Linked DNA regions of Oryzias latipes. The protein of the gene in region 1 purifies or fractionates together with the protein of each later gene. This does not show direct contact. Links are inferred from orthologs where the notes say so. Each region holds a gene or a part of one and is shown on either strand. Other genes may lie near its edges.

Region 1 (4,090 bases):
TGTGACCAAAGTTGCTCAGAATGTGCCCATAAAAAACAAAAAGTAATAAGACATTTTTGGATTTTCGATACATTTTAATTGTTTCTTTTTCATTTACATTTTGGAAGGAAAGCAGACCTGTTTAAAACCTTTTGATGGACATTGCCAGTTGTCTGCATAAATACGTTTTTCCCCTTATTCCTTCATCCAAAGATAATTTTGGGGATGTCATAGGGAGAAATTTTGATGCCCTGTCAGTTGACTTAACTACCCAGGCTCTGTATTTTTAAAATGCCACCGATTGGATCAAAACAAAGACACACTGTGTGAAATTAAAGAGAAGTCAAGTTAAGCAGCACTTATCGTTTAATCCCTGCTTCCTCACGTTTTTTGTAGCCACCTAGTCAAGACAGGAGGAACTTGCTGTTTTTATTATTCACCATATAAATACACAAGTTGATTCAAGTTTAAACAAAAACCTAATTGTGTGCCATAACATTACTCTAACATGCAATTCAAGAACCTTACCACCTGGAAAAGTATGGATTTTTATTATTTTTTAACACTTTTTCACTAGAAAGTACATCTGATTATAACTCTAATGTAAACATTCTTTCCTTTTAAATGTTCAATACAATAAGCAGATGCTTAGGAAAAAGGTAGTTTTTAGGTGTACAAAGGGTTTAGTACTAAAAGTGAGGCAGAGTACTTGAAGTTCACTTTTATACTGTAAACTTAAAATATTCCAATTTAGTCTGAAGTATTATTTATTCAGATACACTTCCTACACTAAATAGTCTATAGTTATTTGCATACTCAAGTATACATAATAAAATAAATTTAACGAAAGCTACTCTTTACTTCAGGGAAGTCAGCATAAGAAAACCTTTCTCATGATTTACTACAAGCAAAAGGTTGTTTTGTTTTAGGTATTTTTGCCTTACAGTTAAAGTTACAGTTAGTTAGCTCCTTTGTAAATACTACTGATTTAAAGCAAACTTTTTGTTGATTAGTTCATCTGTTTAGATACATTTAGTGATGTTTTTTTTATTTTTTGTCTTCTGTGAAATGAACGACATTCTAAGTTGAAGCATGTAAGTTCATCTCTTCAGGAAAGTCCCAAGTTTGGGAAATTCCGTCCAAAAAAAACAAGAAGAAAAAACAAACAAGGAAAAAGCTATTGTTTTAATTCTTTGTCAAGGCATTAATTAACTTAAATTTCTCAAATTTGATGGCTCTAACTGATGTAAAATATTATAATATTGCATTTAACTCTACGTTAATTTTTCCAAAGTATTTTTATGAACCGTAAAGTAAAAAAAAAAAGACCGTGGGTTCCTGAACGCATCTTGCAGACGCGGAAGTATGCCGTCACTGACAATAACAAACCTGCCTTAAATAACGGCGGAGCTCTGTGTGCCGTTTTTGTGTATTTTCCAGGCAGCCTGTTGTGGTCAAATACACGTCGAAAAATGACCACACGTAAACGAACATCTGCAGAGAGGATTTGATCGTGTTAGCTTCCATTTTCTCCCCGTTCATAAAGCAGCTGTGTTAACACTAGCTAAATTGCTAAGCGCGTGGCGACACGCCAAATCATGATGGCAGGGCTGGTTCTCGTTGGTTGAAATTAAGAAGTCGATTCTGATCTCCGAGGTTGACGAACTAAGCGCGTACGCAGAGTCACTTCCCGTAAATGGCAGCCATGGAGGGCGACACGGGCTACGTGAATATCGGCAGCCTGACCAGCACTCTGGCGGTCATCCCCTACCAGAAGCTGACCGACCTGTACTACCTGAGCAAGGGCGGCTTCGGCACGGTCTTCAAGGCGCAGCACTCCGACTGGCGGACCACAGTGGCCATCAAGTGCCTGAAGCTCGACTCGGTGGGAGAAAGGTATCCGTGCGCACATGTGACAGCCTAGGCCTTGCTTTCGTTTGGAAAGGGCGTTAATCAAACGTGTACTTTTTTCCATAATGTGTGTAATCACTAAATCAGAAGAACGATAATAATCGAACTATTTTTGGGATTGTGCGATCGAGGCTCAGATTATTGGTATTATTTCCTAATATATATGTCGGATAACTCTCTTTATTATTATTTTTTATCTTAAATCTGTGTCTTATTATTATTTTTATCTTAAGTCTGTGTTTTCTTTCTTTCATTTGTGTTAACAAAAGAAAGAAAAGGAGAATTGACCAGTTTTTACTTATTGGCACTCAGATTGGTGGGCCTTGGCTTGTTTCATTTTCCACATTTTTCTAACCATACACCGTGCACAACCCTCCACACAGTTGTTTTTATCAGAAACAGGGTGTTTGAGTCCTAACAAAAGTAAGAAAAGTGTTAAGGAGTCTCTGTACAGTTCCCAGCTTTTGCATAGATGTTGTACGTTTTGTCTAAAACAAACTGGGAGTTATTTCTCTCTGTAGCAGTCAAGTCCTGTTCATCAGTACAAGGAACAAGATGTCTTAAACTCCACTGAAAACTCCACTTGGGTTTTTAACTTGTTTTTGTTGCATTTTTTCTTTTGATGGAGGACAAATCAAGCTCAAAATTACGTTTCTTTTCAAATCATTGTGAATAAGGAGCAAATGAAAACATCCAGTTGGGAAAAAGCTAGACATAGGTGCTACAGTCAGCATTCTGCTCCATTCTGATGCGTCCACTTGCAGATGTTCTAAAAGGCTCTGCAGCCTTTATGTTTCCTTAACCACCTCACTCCCTTCACATCCAGGGGCGAGTGCATCATGTGGTCACAGTAAATGTTTGACATTCGTGTCATTTCAAACGCCAACAACATTCCTCATCACCTTTTTAGTAGTCTAGCTTGTGGCCAGCGGCAACAAAACCAAAGCAGTGAGTGTTGGATGGACTTTAATGCATGAGGGTTTGTTGGATTGTTCTGTAGATCTGAATAGTTTCTGTTTGTGTTCAACCAAAATGTAATTAAAAGAAGAACAATTAGGAAAAAATGTTTGAACAAATGCCATGAACAATGGCAGAGAATCATAACTATGACTTATAAACTTTTATTTTAAATGAAACCTGGGAGTTTAATCATCCTGTTAACGAAAAAAAGAATGTCCAGATAAAAATGTGGTTGTGAGGTCCCAAAGCTCCTTCCAGTTCACATCTCTTATCTTCGCTCCTGACAAACTTTTTCCAATCTGTACATGTGGAGCTGCAATGCCTGCTGCTGTTCAAACCAAGTTAAAGTCACTGCTTTGATTTGTTTACTATGCTCAGCATCCTCTACCTGCTGCTGCAAACAAACATCTCCTGTGTTCCAGAGAGAGGAAGTGTCTGCTGAAGGAGGCGGAGGTGCTTCACAAAGCCAGGTTCAACTACATCATCCAGATCTTTGGCATCTGCAACGAACCCGAGTTCTTCTGCATCATCACCGAGTTCATGAGCAATGGCTCTCTGGACCTGCTTCTTCATGAGGTCACACGCATTTATGTTATATTGGTGGAAGAGTTTTATATTTGATCAAACTTTATAAATCATTTTCTTCCTTTTTGTTTGTAGTTGTGACCCTCTCCAAGTGGGTTACATGTCAGTCTTTCAGCTCAGCCTTATGGGTCTTGTTTTCAGGCATTGCTGCGTGAACTTTTCATGAATACGAGTAGCAGCTTCCTTTTTGTGTCAGAAAGTGAAAGTGAAATGGTGTTACCCATGTGTGGGTTTTAAGGGGAAATTCCCTCTTTTTGAAATAGTAGTAAATTTCCCACCTCATTATTTATGGCGCTTGATGAAACACGGCACATGTTCACATCCTCGGTGTCACTGCTTTATCGCCACGATTTGTGGTTTTAATTTTTTTTTTCTGGTGTCTGCGTACAGAAAGAGACGTATCCGGTTCTTGGCTGGCCCCTCCGGCTGAGAATTTTGTACGAGATCGCCCTGGGGGTCAACTTCCTCCACAACATGACCCCACCTCTCCTGCACCACGATCTAAAGACGCAGAACATACTTCTGGATGGAGAATTTCACGTTAAGGTGTGTATGATGAACTTCTCTCTGGGATCCTAACAATTTGAACTCAGCAGTGATAAGAGTTAAAAATACCAAGGCATCAGAATATAGATACCTGTACATCTTCAATTTA
Region 2 (4,155 bases), on another chromosome or scaffold:
GTCAAAAACCCACACTTAAACCCAAATCTGTCCAGACAGGCAAAGGGAATGGTATCCCACAATCCCTTGTGGTGCCAATCTAACAGCAGCACCAAAGTTACATCTTTTTTCATTCATTCATTTTCTGTTCCGTTTTATCCCTTTGGGGTCATGTGGCTGCTGGAGCCTATCCTGGCCACTTGTGGGTGAAGGCAGGGGACACCCTGGACAGTTCGCCAGTCTGTTGCAGGGTAGAATGTCCTCAATCACACACCCAGTCACTCTCACACCTAGGGACATTTTAGATTAACCAATTAACCTATGAAGCATGTTTTTGGACAGTGGGAGGAAGCTGGAGAACCCGGAGAGAACCCACACATGCACGAGGAGAACATGCAAACTCCACACAGAAAGGTCCCCCATTGATGTTCTCTTTCAGGTCCCCCAGCTGGGACTTGAACTGGAGGCCTTCTTGCTGTGAGGCAAGAGCGCTAACCACTGCGCCACCGTGCAGCCCTAAAGTTACACCTACTTAATTGAATTAATTTGAATGAAAGTAAAACAACTGTCTGATAACTACGTGTTATTTTTAAGCTGACTTAACAAAAAAAAAAAAGATTTATCTTAAGTATAGCAAACAATTAAGTTAGATCAAAGTAAAAAAGTTTATTTTTCCAACATACATATGTAAGGGTTAATGGCCGACGAAGTGTGCGGTTATTACTTTTTAACACACGGCGTGGAAGCCTGAACCGTCCGACGCGAAGCAGCCAATCAGAATCGAGTATTCAACCGGACCATGGTATAAGTGGGTTTATCACCCTCTCACGGTGTAAAAAGTATTATTTGAGCTTCTTCATCCACTAAATCAACTTCAAATGGACACGCCATGCTGCTTCACCTCTCTGAAAACAAACTAATTCAACTGAACCTGCTCCATACCAGGTTATGTTCAGAGCATGAGTTGCTATGGCAACTTGACATACCCTGAAACATACCTCCATTTCTGGAACCGAAAGCTGAGGTTATCAACTTCCTTAGCCTCAAACTTACCGTGGGAGCTAGCATAACCTGCTTTCTGGAATACCCCCCAGGCTGTTTCTGGCAAAAAGTACAGTTGGTGTTTATGTCATCCTTAAATTTAGTTAAATAATATTTTGCTGGATAAAATCTGTGTAGGAGTTTAAAAGAGATTTCTTTGACTTTATTTGTTAAGAAGTACTTTAGTGGTAAAGACCAGACTTTTTTCCATTCAATGTTAGAAGTAAAATAAGCCCAATAAAAGGTAGCTGATGGAACAGAAACCAAATTATCTTTGAACAAAGCTAGTTGTTGTTGTTGTTGTTGTTGTTGTTGTTGTGGGGTCGGAACTCAACTACGCCAGCCATGTTCCGGGGATAGTATAGAGGTGTGCACATACTTCCTGATGAAGCTATAACGCTTCTGTTAAGAAAAACAACAAACCAGCTGGAGGACTGGAGGAAGATATGCCTGTAAGTTGTAGACACAGCGAGGGACTCTTCCTAAACATGGATGATGGTCCTCTTGTCTCTGCGCATGAATAGTGGAAGTGTCCGGATATCCAGAGAGCCGGCCCGGCCGACGCATCAACGACGAGCGCTCGGATCCTTCAAGCTAACGAGTTAGCATCTAGGCCTGGCGGGTAACCTAGCCGTTGGCTCTTATAGAAAGCTGAGAAAAGTGCTGGCTTTACTCCCAGCTTTGGGATGGTCATTGTGAAAGCGGTTCGCTGTTACCGTGCAAGTCATGCAGCTTCACTTTTCGGAAGTTAGCTGTTGGAGCTTTACGAGCTTTTAGTACATACATTGTTGTGCGGCTAATGTTAGCTGTGGTGGGTAATGGCTAAAAAAAAAAAAAAAAAAGTTCACGAGCAACGTATTTTTTCAGAACTTTTAGCAAATAATATTGAATGTTAATTATAGTCCTTTAGTTTAAAATAGCAACGTCAGTGTGCTTATATCTCATTATTTGTGATTATTTTGCAGAGTGTTTATGTGTTTTGATTGAAATGGCTCTTTTTTCCATAGTAATTTACTAGCTAACCTTAGCTAGTAATGTCTCTAACATTACCACCCTCCGAAATGCTGGAAACGCCACCCGGATATCCGTTTGAAGAAATTAACTATGAGGACATTGAGGTGGAAGAGGTTGGTGCCACCGTCAGTGTGTCTGTTTGTGTTGCCGTCACTTTGCTGCTGAACGCTGACAGCTCCACTCCTGTAGGTGGTTGGCAGAGGAGCGTTTGGGGTGGTCTGCAAAGCCAAGTGGAAAGGCAACGACGTTGCCATCAAGACCATTGAGAGCGAATCCGAGAGGAAAGCCTTCATCGTTGAGGTATTTCTGCTTGGTCTAAAGACAAAAATCCAGTTTGGTGTAATTCTGTGTCACGTTTATCGTTTGGCTTCAGCTCCGACAGCTTTCCCGCGTGAACCACCCCAATATTGTCAAGTTATATGGCTCCTGCAGTAATCCAGTAAGGTTACAGTCATTTTGCCAGGTTAAAACCAATAGAAAGTCAAGTTTGGGGCTAATTCTGAAATGTGTTTCTGTCTGTCTCTTCAGGTCTGCCTGGTGATGGAATATGCTGAAGGAGGATCTCTGTACAATGGTGAGCTCAGATTTTCTTTTAAAATTCACTCAGATGAAAATTGTGTCTTTGGTGTGTTTAAGATGGCATTTTTGTAACATTTTACTGATGATGGAGGACATATATATTAACAAAATTAAGGCTAAAATTACATTTCTCAGTAATTCTTTATTCAAATCGTTTAAAATCAGGAGCAGACGAAAAAATGCTGTTTGAAAAACATCTTATTTCTGTTGTAAAAGATATTATGAGTACTATACCAGTGTTTTTCAACCTTTTTTGAGCCACGGCACACTTTAACCTTGACAAAAATCCCGCAGCACACCAGCATCCAAAAAAATAGATAAATAAAAAAAAAAGAAAAACTCAGTCTGTATTGATCTACAGCCGCTCTGCAATCTCACATGCATTTTTGTGATAACTGTTGCAGAAAACGCTGGAAGCTGCAGCTGTTTTTTCTAAAAGATGTATTAAAAATTAAGTGAAAAGATTCAAAAACTGTTTGATGTGTGTTCGTTGTTTTAAGACGTTAAGAGGAGAGACTCATTGTGCGCTAAGACAGTCACTTTACTGCATCATGGGAGATGTAGTGCCCGTAATCCGCCGACCGCAGAAAGACCAGCGTCTTTGAGCTTCATGGTTTTGTTCACTTGTTCCAGTCTGATACCAGATTCTGTGGAAAGCTACGCCGCTAAAGACGAGCTTTAGCTGGTATTTTTGTAAGAACAGAGAGACTTTTCTGCGCTAAATCGAAACAAGGAAGTGAATACTTTAACCACTTCTGATTGGTCAGACTGATGACATGTGATTAAGCCTTCAAGAATGATTGGTGGAGACAGTTAAAGGGGCGGGAATTTTCCTTACACAGTTATAGCTGCAGCTAAATCGCGGTATCCTGTTATTCTTATCAAAATGTCTTTAATAGAATCATATAAACACAAAGAAAAAATAATTTTATGATATTTCATATTCTTAACTTCTCAGTGTTTTATCAGGGCCTGTTTGGATGAACAAATAGCTGATTTCCTGGAGATGGTAATTGCTTTTAGATCAGTTAATGAGTGCAATTTCTCACGGCACACTTGACCATCTCCCACGGCACACTAGTGTGCCGCGGCACACTGGTTGAAAAACACTGTACTATACTATACGTTTTTTTTTTCCTCGTCTGAGCTGGAATCTGGATCTAAACTTTACGGCTGGATAGTTTGGTGGTGTGGGGGGGCTGTAAGCTAGCGTGAGGGCATGTAAACAGAGAGTCCTCAGCAACTAGGAGAGGAATTGCGGGGGGGTTTGCTCCACGCCAACATTCCCGCCCACAACTCAGACGTGAACTTCTTATACATTTCTGCTACTCTGCAGAATCCATGTCCTATAAACGATTATGGTGTTTGGCTTATAAAACAGCTTAACATAATTAAAAGTCCACTGGGAACACTTTGAAAATAGATCAAAAGATGATCAGGGTGGGACTTTAAGACTCAAGTGGGTTTTTTTTTGCAGATGACTCCATCCATTATACTCTTGTGGCTGCATTACAAGGGCAGTACAGCTCAGATGTATGAAGC

The links. The genes of interacting proteins can lie anywhere in the genome.
Region 2: the proteins of ripk2 (region 1) and map3k7 purify together in Homo sapiens (affinity purification with western blotting; 4 studies listed by BioGRID). This does not show direct contact. The link is inferred for Oryzias latipes from reciprocal best matches to the Homo sapiens genes RIPK2 and MAP3K7.

The regions. Positions count from the first base shown.
Region 1 is NC_019875.2:13,779,146-13,783,235, forward strand, and holds the start of ripk2 (receptor-interacting serine/threonine-protein kinase 2), read left to right. Parts: upstream 1-1,290; 5' UTR 1,291-1,675; coding exon 1,676-1,875; intron 1,876-3,272; coding exon 3,273-3,426; intron 3,427-3,825; coding exon 3,826-3,981; intron 3,982-4,090.
Region 2 is NC_019882.2:20,589,033-20,593,187, reverse strand, and holds the start of map3k7 (mitogen-activated protein kinase kinase kinase 7), read left to right. Parts: upstream 1-1,355; 5' UTR 1,356-1,472; exon of another isoform or gene 1,473-1,642; intron 1,643-2,027; 5' UTR 2,028-2,054; coding exon 2,055-2,147; intron 2,148-2,223; coding exon 2,224-2,334; intron 2,335-2,407; coding exon 2,408-2,473; intron 2,474-2,562; coding exon 2,563-2,608; intron 2,609-4,155. UniProt on the Homo sapiens protein: Serine/threonine kinase which acts as an essential component of the MAP kinase signal transduction pathway. Plays an important role in the cascades of cellular responses evoked by changes in the environment.